2 linked regions of the Nothobranchius furzeri genome follow. The protein of the gene in region 2 interacts with the protein of the main gene of each other region in a biochemical or structural test. Links are inferred from orthologs where the notes say so. Each region holds a gene or a part of one and is shown on either strand. Other genes may lie near its edges.

What was found. The genes of interacting proteins can lie anywhere in the genome.
Region 1: the proteins of mapk8ip3 (region 2) and mapk10 form a complex in vitro, tested with the Homo sapiens proteins (3 studies listed by BioGRID, with this or other methods). The link is inferred for Nothobranchius furzeri from reciprocal best matches to the Homo sapiens genes MAPK8IP3 and MAPK10.

Annotation. Positions count from the first base shown.
Region 1 is NC_091746.1:59,119,962-59,124,746, reverse strand, and holds part of mapk10 (mitogen-activated protein kinase 10), read left to right. Parts: intron 1-3,504; coding exon 3,505-3,568; intron 3,569-3,673; coding exon 3,674-3,751; coding exon of another isoform or gene 3,752-3,768; exon of another isoform or gene 3,769-3,781; intron 3,782-4,785. UniProt on the Homo sapiens protein: Serine/threonine-protein kinase involved in various processes such as neuronal proliferation, differentiation, migration and programmed cell death.
Region 2 is NC_091752.1:51,054,788-51,059,575, forward strand, and holds the end of mapk8ip3 (C-Jun-amino-terminal kinase-interacting protein 3), read right to left. Parts: coding exon 4,704-4,788; intron 3,126-4,703; exon of another isoform or gene 3,097-3,125; coding exon 3,058-3,096; exon of another isoform or gene 2,952-3,057; intron 2,756-2,951; coding exon 2,591-2,755; intron 2,045-2,590; coding exon 1,898-2,044; intron 1,296-1,897; coding exon 1,171-1,295; 3' UTR 1,029-1,170; downstream 1-1,028.

The sequences.
Region 1 (4,785 bases), on a different chromosome or scaffold from region 2:
TCCTCTCTCCTAACATAGCTGCTACTTACCAAATTACCAGATTTATGGTGGTGCTTTCCATCTGTGGGAAGTTTGCAGAACTTATAGCCTTTTTCCCTCCGTTTTCTCCGTGTCTGGTTTGATGACATCACTTTCATGAAGTGCATTTGTAGGTCTGGACTTCATTTCACACAAAACCTAAAATAGCGTCCCCCCCTCCCGTTAGAAAATAAGCACGTTCTTGGTAACAAAATGTGTCTGCTGAATTCACGAACATCATACTGTATGTGAAATCCATGGCACAAAACAAGCAGAATTAGAAAATAGCATTCTTAGCCCCACTGACTTGCATTCATTTCGTTCTTCCGGGGACCCATGGTCTGGAAGTAGATGGGCATGACTTAGGCTCCCTATTGGCAGAGTCATGTTGCTGTTAGCCAATCAGAAGAGAGATGTCCAAATATCCAGAAAAAAAGATTCCAAATCCTGCAGTCCGAAGCTCAGGCCTGATGTGGCTCACTTCTAGTTCCTGAAACAGGCGCACTATTGCTTTTTTCCCCTAGACTATGACTTACAAAGCAATCAGAGTGAACCACACCTTTAAAATGTTGAGTGATTCCAGAGGAAAAGGCCTTATTCTAAGGGCCGACTTGTATTGATATTTTAAAGAAATTATTTAGATAAATCCATGTTCAGAGAGAAATGATCTCCAACTGTTCATCAGAAGCCTGTGGTTGTGGTGAGAGAAAAAGCGTATGGTGATTGAGCCAGAATCACGATAAGTCAGTGAGACAGTGTAGCTGTGTCCTGGTAAGTGAAGTAGTAATCACGTGGGACTGAAGCAAAACAACACATCAGATATGATCTTATCTTCTTCCTTCTGTTGTTTAATCCTGATTTTAAAGATCTGATGTAACTTATATTCACGCAGAATTTAATGGAAATCAGTGTTCATTTCATGTGATAAATATAAATGTACTTAATGTTTATTCTTATTTATTTTTATTTTTGTACAATTTTCATATTAACACATCATGTTGTGTCTGTCAGAGATACTTGAACAATGGGAATGTAAATATTGGTTTTGTAGGTGCTCCATAAAAAATATTTACGTATTTAATCTTTGTTCTGGGGAACTAATTATGCACCAAATTAAGCCTTTTTTTCCAGTTACCTTTGGCTGAATTTAAACAAAACAGTAATTTTAAAAAGTTGGAGCCAGGGAAATAGTTTTCCAATTCATATGAAACAATCCAATATAATGCAATACATTATAATACAATGCAATATAACATAATATTTAATGTATTTTATACGAGGGCTGTGCAATTAATCAGATTGGCATTTCTATAAAAACAAGGTAATCAACAAAAGCATATACTGTAAAAACTAGTACTGTATTGTAGTAAGTACTGTTTTTTTTCACATTATCCATTGCAAGCATGCTCTTACAGATGCTTTTAATAATTTTTGCCCCTAAACTTACAAGTCCTGAGTCCTTGACACTGGTCAAGATAATTATGTTGCTGTATGGTCTGATCTTTCCCTCCTGACAGTCATAATGGCAAGCCCAATTATGTAACGGCTCCAAAGAGAAACTTTTCAGATATGTCTGCTGTGTGTGATGTGTTAAGAGTGCTCTAGTCCCCTCAGAAGCATGTCAGGGCAGCTCCAGTCTCAAGATGTTGGATGGTCATGGTCCAATATTAAAGACAAACAAGCATGCTGTATGTTGATTATGATGTGTAACCAATCAGAAAGTGATTTGAAGGAAGCACAGAGAATATTTCTTGGCCATGTTGGTTTACTTCAAAGTAACTTTGATTTTCAGAGATTCTGTGAGCTTTACACCACACACTGTAGGACCAGAACTGGCATGTCATTATTATTTATCGCCACATGTGGAGTCTCATGTTTTAAAAATTCTTGGCAATTTTTAAATCCTGCCATGTGAACCAAGCCCAAGTATACAAAACAACAAACTGCTATTTATATTTAAGACCTGAAAAACACACTCTGAGCTCCTGTAGCAGCTCTCCTCTGCTTGAACAGCACCACTGTCTCCCTACATTGTTCATAAATATTTTAAATAGAATGATAAATTTTACTAGAAAATTCCTGAATCAATTTTAAAAAGGGACCTGCCTGCTGGCACAAGATAGTGGCCATGTGCTAAAGAGGCCAAAAAAGATTGTCAGGGTGACCACCCCAAAATCATGATATTTGGGTGACATTAAGGTAAAAATAAAAATAAAAATCATGATATTGTTCATGCATATGTAAAAATGCCACTTTAGAGGGCCTGCCATCTAATTAATCAATTATGTGCATGTTTAATTGCTAATATTCACATTTTATGCTATTTTAGAGTGGCACAACATCAAAATGCAAAAAATTCACTGTTTTTAGCTAATAATTTCACCATTGTGAATCGAAACACTTAGAAAAGTAATAGCACACCTCCCACAGCCAATCCGCTCATTTCGATGTATAATTTGTGGGGGTGCGCGCTGCCGTTTGAGCCGCATTAATGTCCACGCAAGAGTAATAATAAAGAGAACAAACCCTCCTGTGAAGAACAAAAAGGGACCCGCTGGTTAATTAGTCGAGCTTTAAGCTACAGGAATGTTACAAGATCATTTATTTGATTTATTTCTTTTTCTCAAAAAGCCTGATGTTGGGCATTTTACAGCAAATCCTTGTATGATGAAAGTGTTTTGAAACACAACAAAACAGTTCCACTCTGCCACCTGCTGATGTAAACTGATGTCTGCAGCCTCTTTAAAATGTGAACTCTGGCTAATGTTTTCAGATGTTGTGTCAGTGCAGACTAAATTAATTGAGATAAAGATATCTTTCTTGAGCAACTTTACAGAAATTGATATGAGACAATGGAGCAATGTGCCTTATTGTCTTTATGAACATTGTTGTAGGTACAGCACTGTCTCTGCAGGAGCTCAAAGAATAAATAAACTTAAAGAAAAATGAACACCATGGAAACAAAACACTTTGTTGATGTTCACACAGGAAAACTCATCTTTTCCATACTTCGGTCGAATTTGCTCTTTCTTTTGGGCAAATTTTTCCTCATTGTTCCACTAACCTTCTTTGTGTGTGCACATGTGTGTATGTCTGTGTGTGTGCACATGTGTGTGTGTCTGTGTGTGTGTGTGTGTGAGAGAGATGGACATAATTACCCTCATCACATTTAATGTTCAAATCAAGTAATTGTTTTTTTTACTGGAGTTAAAACTGTTTAAAACTCCATGAACAACCATGCAACTGTTAAAACATATAACAAGTAAAATTATGTTTTGCTTTTTGTAGGTTTTTAATAAAGTGTGGCTTATTATTTTAGCCTACTGATGTTCAGATGTGCTTTCTATTCCTAATGACATAGTTCTGAAGCATGACAAAACCTGATGTCTAAAATCATAAATATTCTATGTGACCTCATCTTTTGATTTCAGGGCATCTGATGCTATCTAAATAGGTTTTAAATAAATTATTCTCTCTTAACTTTAGCCTCCACCCCAGATCTACGACAAACAGCTGGATGAGCGAGAACACTCTATTGATGAGTGGAAAGGTACTAAAGCCGCCGTTTCCCCTCCTATCTCATGTTTGCATGTCTACTTCTACTGATTATGTTTGTTGTGCTTCACTGACATTTCCTCTCTGTTTGCCTTGCCAGAGCTAATTTATAAAGAAGTGATGAACTTTGAGGAGAGAACGAAGAATGGCGTTGTGAAGGGACAACCTTCACCTTCAGGTACTCTCAGTGCATAAGCCTAATCGCTCTGTAAGTGAATTTAATATAAACTTAATGGAGTTTTCCCTTGTAAATAGAGATTACCATTGTGCTGTTGACCATGTGTCTCTTGTCTCTTGCATCCAATGTTAAGTGTTGTTAAGTTCAGTGGTGTCGTTTTGCTGTATTTGTATTTTAAAACCGTAAGAAGTACATTTATGTCTGCTAAACTGCTTTCTGCCACAGGAAATGAGAAGAAATGTTGTGTGTATATTTGTTTGTGCGTTTAACATGCGTCATAACTTAAGGTTTGGGTCTCGTGGTTTTGTCTGAAGGTGCAGATGAAGTTTTCCCACTGTAGGGAAAGTGCTGTTCTCCTAGTTCACCACAGGGTGGCAGTAAAAAGTAAAAAACAACAGCAACAACAACCAGATTCCAGATTTTGGGTTTGCTGTTTGAGTCAAAAGCAGATTTGAAAAGAAAACACCGCTGCAGATAAAATGTGCATCTGACAGTGACACTGATATTAATCTCATCTTTAAAAACTAACTAACAACTAACTAACTAACTAACTAACTAACTAACTAACCAACCAACCAACCAACCAACCAACCAACTGCCAATAATGTCTCATGAGCAGGGCTGAACTCATTAGCCTGGATTTATAACCAAAAAATTACATATTAAACAACAATAAAATGGTTAATTTAACACAAAAAAGCAAGAAGTTTGTCATCTCTGTGCTTCTCCTAATGTCTGTTTTGTTCAAATTGGCATTCTCCATTTTTTTCTCCGTTTCTGCAACCTCCAGTAATTAAGGAGATGGGCTGGTGTGTGGCGTCTGATGCTGAGCATGCCAGACGCACTGCAGGAGCTGCAGACAGCAGTATTTCACTGCAGCAAAGAAGCAGAGAGCATGGTGCATGAGTCAGAACTGGTGTGCCACTGCATCAGCAACACTGACAACACTTGTGTTACTCTGTGTCATTCTCCTTTTTTAAGTTAGGTTCAAGACAAGATGTCTTGATACATTTTTTTCATCTTCTATGTTTTGA
Region 2 (4,788 bases):
CATGGGCAATGCCTCAATAAGGGACGCCAGTGCTGTCTTCTGGTTTTTGTTTTTCAGTTCAGATTGTAAAACTTAGATGAAAGGATTGTTTATCAGGTAAATGCACCTTTATTTGTGTTAAATGAACACATCCTGCACCTGTCAGGTGTGCAACAACCTGACGGCTCAGCTTTCCATTGAGCTGAGATGTTTATAATCTGTTTGACTTGCAAAAAACGGTTATGTGTCATTATCCAAATATCAGCATCTTTGACTTCAGATTGTTCAGAGTTGTGAAAATGATCATGTGGAAGGACTTGAATGTAAAGTTTGCAGCTTTCATGTGTTTTTATATTTTCATATGAAGCTTGACTTTAAGGTGAATCTGTACTTGAACACGTTTTTACTAAACCAGCCCAGCTGCATTTATCCGTTACTAAAGCAACAACAAATCAGTCATTTTACGCGTGTTTGTTGTGAAGCGAACCACACACCACTCGCTGCTTTCAGCACACAAATATGTTTAATATTTAATCCACAGATAAAGAGATCAATGCACAGATTTCTATACTGAACCGGGAGGATGCATCTTGACATTTACAGTTTTTATCCCTGTACATAAATAACATGCCAGCGCTCGCCTGCATCACACCCCTCTGTGTGAATATGAACATGATCCGACCTTTGACCTGCATCAGGAAGCTGGAGATGTTTCACCCTGGTGGTTTTAAACAAAACGTTTTAGTCAAAACAAACCAGATTATCAGACTTTCACTCATCTGTTACCTTTACGAGATAAATAGAAGTCAGCGGGTGAAACCAGACTCTTGGCCGACATTCACACTTTTACTTGTTTTTGGGGAATCTGATGGGATCTGGAAGAGGAGGTGACGTTTTTACAGATAAACTCAAGGAGCAGCTGTTGCAGGACAGCCGAGGGAGAGGACGGGGATGGATGTAGGGAGGTAGATAATGAGGTTTATGGTGATGGTTACAGCTTCCTGTGTGACGGACACAGGGTGTCAGGCAGATAACTAGATCAGAGGAGATGGAGGGACAGGAGGAGGTTTATTAGTTACAGGAACAATGCAAAGCTCAGAGGGTAGTTTTACAGCCAGAGGGGAACTTTTACATGATGGGGGGGAATTGCAAGGTTTGGATGGCTGGAAGCTTCCAAGACAAACTCCGGTGTCACTCTGGGACATAAGACACCTGCCAGACGATGATGTGGCTCCGCTCAGCCTTGCTCAAAGCAGGTTTCATCTGTGAAGCCCCACTGTTGTCTCCGTCCTCCGTCTCATCGTCCTCTCCGTCACCTGTGGAGGACGAACCAATCCAACTCAACAGCTAGTCAGGCTAGAATTATTTAAAAAAAAAGGATGAAAAATACTTGTGATTAGTTTCTTTCACTCTTTTATTCCATTTGTTGGGAAACCAGAATTTTATTTATTAATTTAAAAAAATGTTTTTTTGACATTTTAGGGTTGCACCGTGCCTCTAGTGCCACCTGGAAACAAAAGGAACTACAATTCTAGTTACATTTGAATCAAAGTCATTCAAATTTGAAATTTTATTTTGTGGTATTTATAATTTTACATTCATATTTTAACAGATCCACGAAGCTTTTTACGCAAATGTTTGGAAAAGATCTAAAGGTGGAATCTGGCAGGAAAACACACAAAAACTTCTAATTTCTCCTGAAAACACATCCTTTCTTTGCTTTAAACTCCCAGTTAGATGAGCTGTTGTAGGGTTTCTTTATTTTTACCACCTTAGAAAAGCAACCGTACCAATTCAGTTCATTTTTAAACTAAGACAGACAGAATATGAATAAATTATATTGGAAAACATTAGCTAATATTTAAATTTTTTCTTTTATTAATTGGGTGTTCTGATAGCAGTGTGTGTGTGTGTTTACCTATGCGGAAATCGATGTAGCCCTCGCCCCCGCTCAACACCAACACGTTGTGAACACTCTGCTCCTCCGTCTCTGTTGGTGCCGTGGAGCTCTGCCCTTCTGACGGGCTGTCCAGAACACTGCCGTTCAAGGTGGCCAGAACGTTGCCTGTCATAAAATACAGCCCAAAACTTTGCATTAATTGTTAAAATAACAATCTAAAAACATCACATTAATTTTCGCAGGTACAACCCCAATCATAGGCCCATTTAATCTGAACCAAATAATCTAAACGTTTTAAAGAGCAAGTCACCCCCTGCCAGAGTCTTACTCCACTCCCACTTCCTGTTTGAAAAATGCAAAAAATGCTGTTGCCTGGCAAGACTACACACACATGATATTGTGACCTCATAATGTAACAGCTGACATCATAGTGTACTTCTTAGCCTATAGCAATGGCAGATTAAATTTAAATGCAATGCAGAGTTTTTACCTGAAAACTGTGCAACAATGACAGTTTTAGGCAGAATATTTAAATGTTAACTAAGATGCACTTAAGTGCCAAATGATTGCATGTGTCTACAGCTTGGTTAGACACTCATTTATATAGTTAATCAGCAAAAAAGAAGTGGATTTGGGGGTGACTTGCTCTTTAAATATAAGCTTGGGTCTGAAACAGCAGGAGCTCTAAACCTAATCTCGGCGTTTACTGACCCGGTACGGAGACAAAGAACTTAACAGCATCACGGTGTCCATGGAAACACAGCTGGGCTTGTGCCATGGAGCAGTAGGGAATGAAGCTGCCGCTGCTCTTCTCTGATCCGTCATCACTGTAGACGTGGATCACGCCTCCGGAGGACGTGGGAGACACCTTATTGGCTGGAGCAGAGGGACGAGAGACGACGAGAACGTTCACAAGCAAATCATAAACATAACAGAAACCATAAACAACACATATACTAACTTCTACATTGCACGTAACGTTTTATTAAAGTCACAATAACTGATGACATGCATCTAAAAAGTCAAACATCTCTCTGACAAAACAATAAACACGGAATACTTTTATTTTCAGGAAATTAATCAGAGAAGGAAGAACTGAAAGATGAAAATTCAAAAATAAAACAGTCTCAAGAGATTGGACGGTTTGGCCGGGGGAGACGAGGGGAGGTCCCACTTACCCCTCAAACCCAGGAGCTGTCCCCGATGAAGGACCACCGCTTTAGGAGAAGGAAGACGAGGAGGAGGTGGAGAAAGAGGACAGTGACAGTAATAATTAGGATTGGGAGAACAAGCTGCTACTACTGAACAAAGGAAGGAAACAGAAAGTGGGAAAAGCTGAGGGGAGCTGAAGAGGTCTCCGTGTGGACACTGGACACGCTGATGTTTTTTATGGATGTCCGAAGACTCAACTTAAACCAATCAGAAAATGTAATATTATAATATATTAATTAATATTATTAGCTATGTGCATGGAAGTCATAGTTTATAATTTAATAACAGAATACCAGGTAATTTTAATACAGTGAAAAATAAACACAAACAATCATACTCTCATGGATTCTGTTTCATAAAAATATATGAATATGCTTTTTATCAGCTTTTGTTTGTATTTCAATAAAGTTCTCGTCACGGGTTTAGCAACTTTTTCCTTTTTTCATGCTGTATTTTATTTTGAAACCTCTAAAATGACTTAACTATGTACTAAACCCCACCCCTTATGTGCTCATTGTGCAGAGTATTTATGTCTTGGTCTATTTAAATGTTTTAAAGGAACTTTACGGAGTTTAGAATTTTTATGCTCGCGATTGCCCCCTCAGGCCAAAAGCGTAACGACAGCTTCAATAGGAGGCTCGTGCACGAGGCGCGCATGCCGTACGTGCACACTCCTTAACGAAAATAGCAGCTGAGACAGTCCCGTGTGTGTGTGTGTGTGTCCCGGAGGACAGAGGACAGGAGAACATGCAGCTAATTAATTAAATAATTTGGTTCTGTACCTTTCTCTTCAGCACAGCCGACAAAGGTTTATGATGGGTCAGTCCTCCTGCATGCTCAGATCATTCCCTTCCCTTGCTTAAAAAATTGTTCCAAAATGAAAGTTGGACCCACATCTTTTTTTATCTGTGAATTCAATGCCGTTCGGCGAGTCTCAAATAAAAATTTGGGCATCTTACTGTAAAAAAATATACCATTAATGTAAAAAAGAAACTCTAAAATAACTATGTTCACATTCAGAACTGAACCCGGGACTTCTGCACAAAAGCCCCAAATCTTACCAGGCGAGCTAAACCATCTGTAACATTTATATTCTTGATGACAGCTGAAACAACGTTCAACGAATGGTTCGGAGGGCTATGCCTGAGCGTGAACGCGCATGAAGCAGCCTGCTCGACCCGAGCAGCTCTCTTTTTCTGTGATTTTACAGAAAAACAGGCAATCACAGTAAAATGCCAGGGCTCATTCTACCGGACCAGGGCATTGCAGGAGAATGTATGAAGAAGAAATTTATTATTTCTATACATGTTTTGGCTGTCAAACTTCCATAATGCCCCTTTAATGATGATCCTACGGAAAGCCACAGACAGAAATGTGTTTTATAGCAAATATTTTTTTCCAACAACATGGAAATGTAAAAAAAAAAAAAACCTCCTTTGAACTTGAATTATATTTTTATAATGCATGAGTTTTCCAGGAGCTGTTAATAATCAGACAAGTTCATCGCAGATTGTTCTGAGTAAAGGCAGAACTATATTTATATAATCCTGCTTTGATTAATCTCTTGATAAAAAAAGTTCGATTTCATATTCTGCTGCGTAACTCCACTCACTTTCTGTCAGCGGGATGGAGATGATCACACCGTTTCCGGTTCCCACCCAGAGACGATTTCCACCAATCAGGAGGGCCGTGATCCG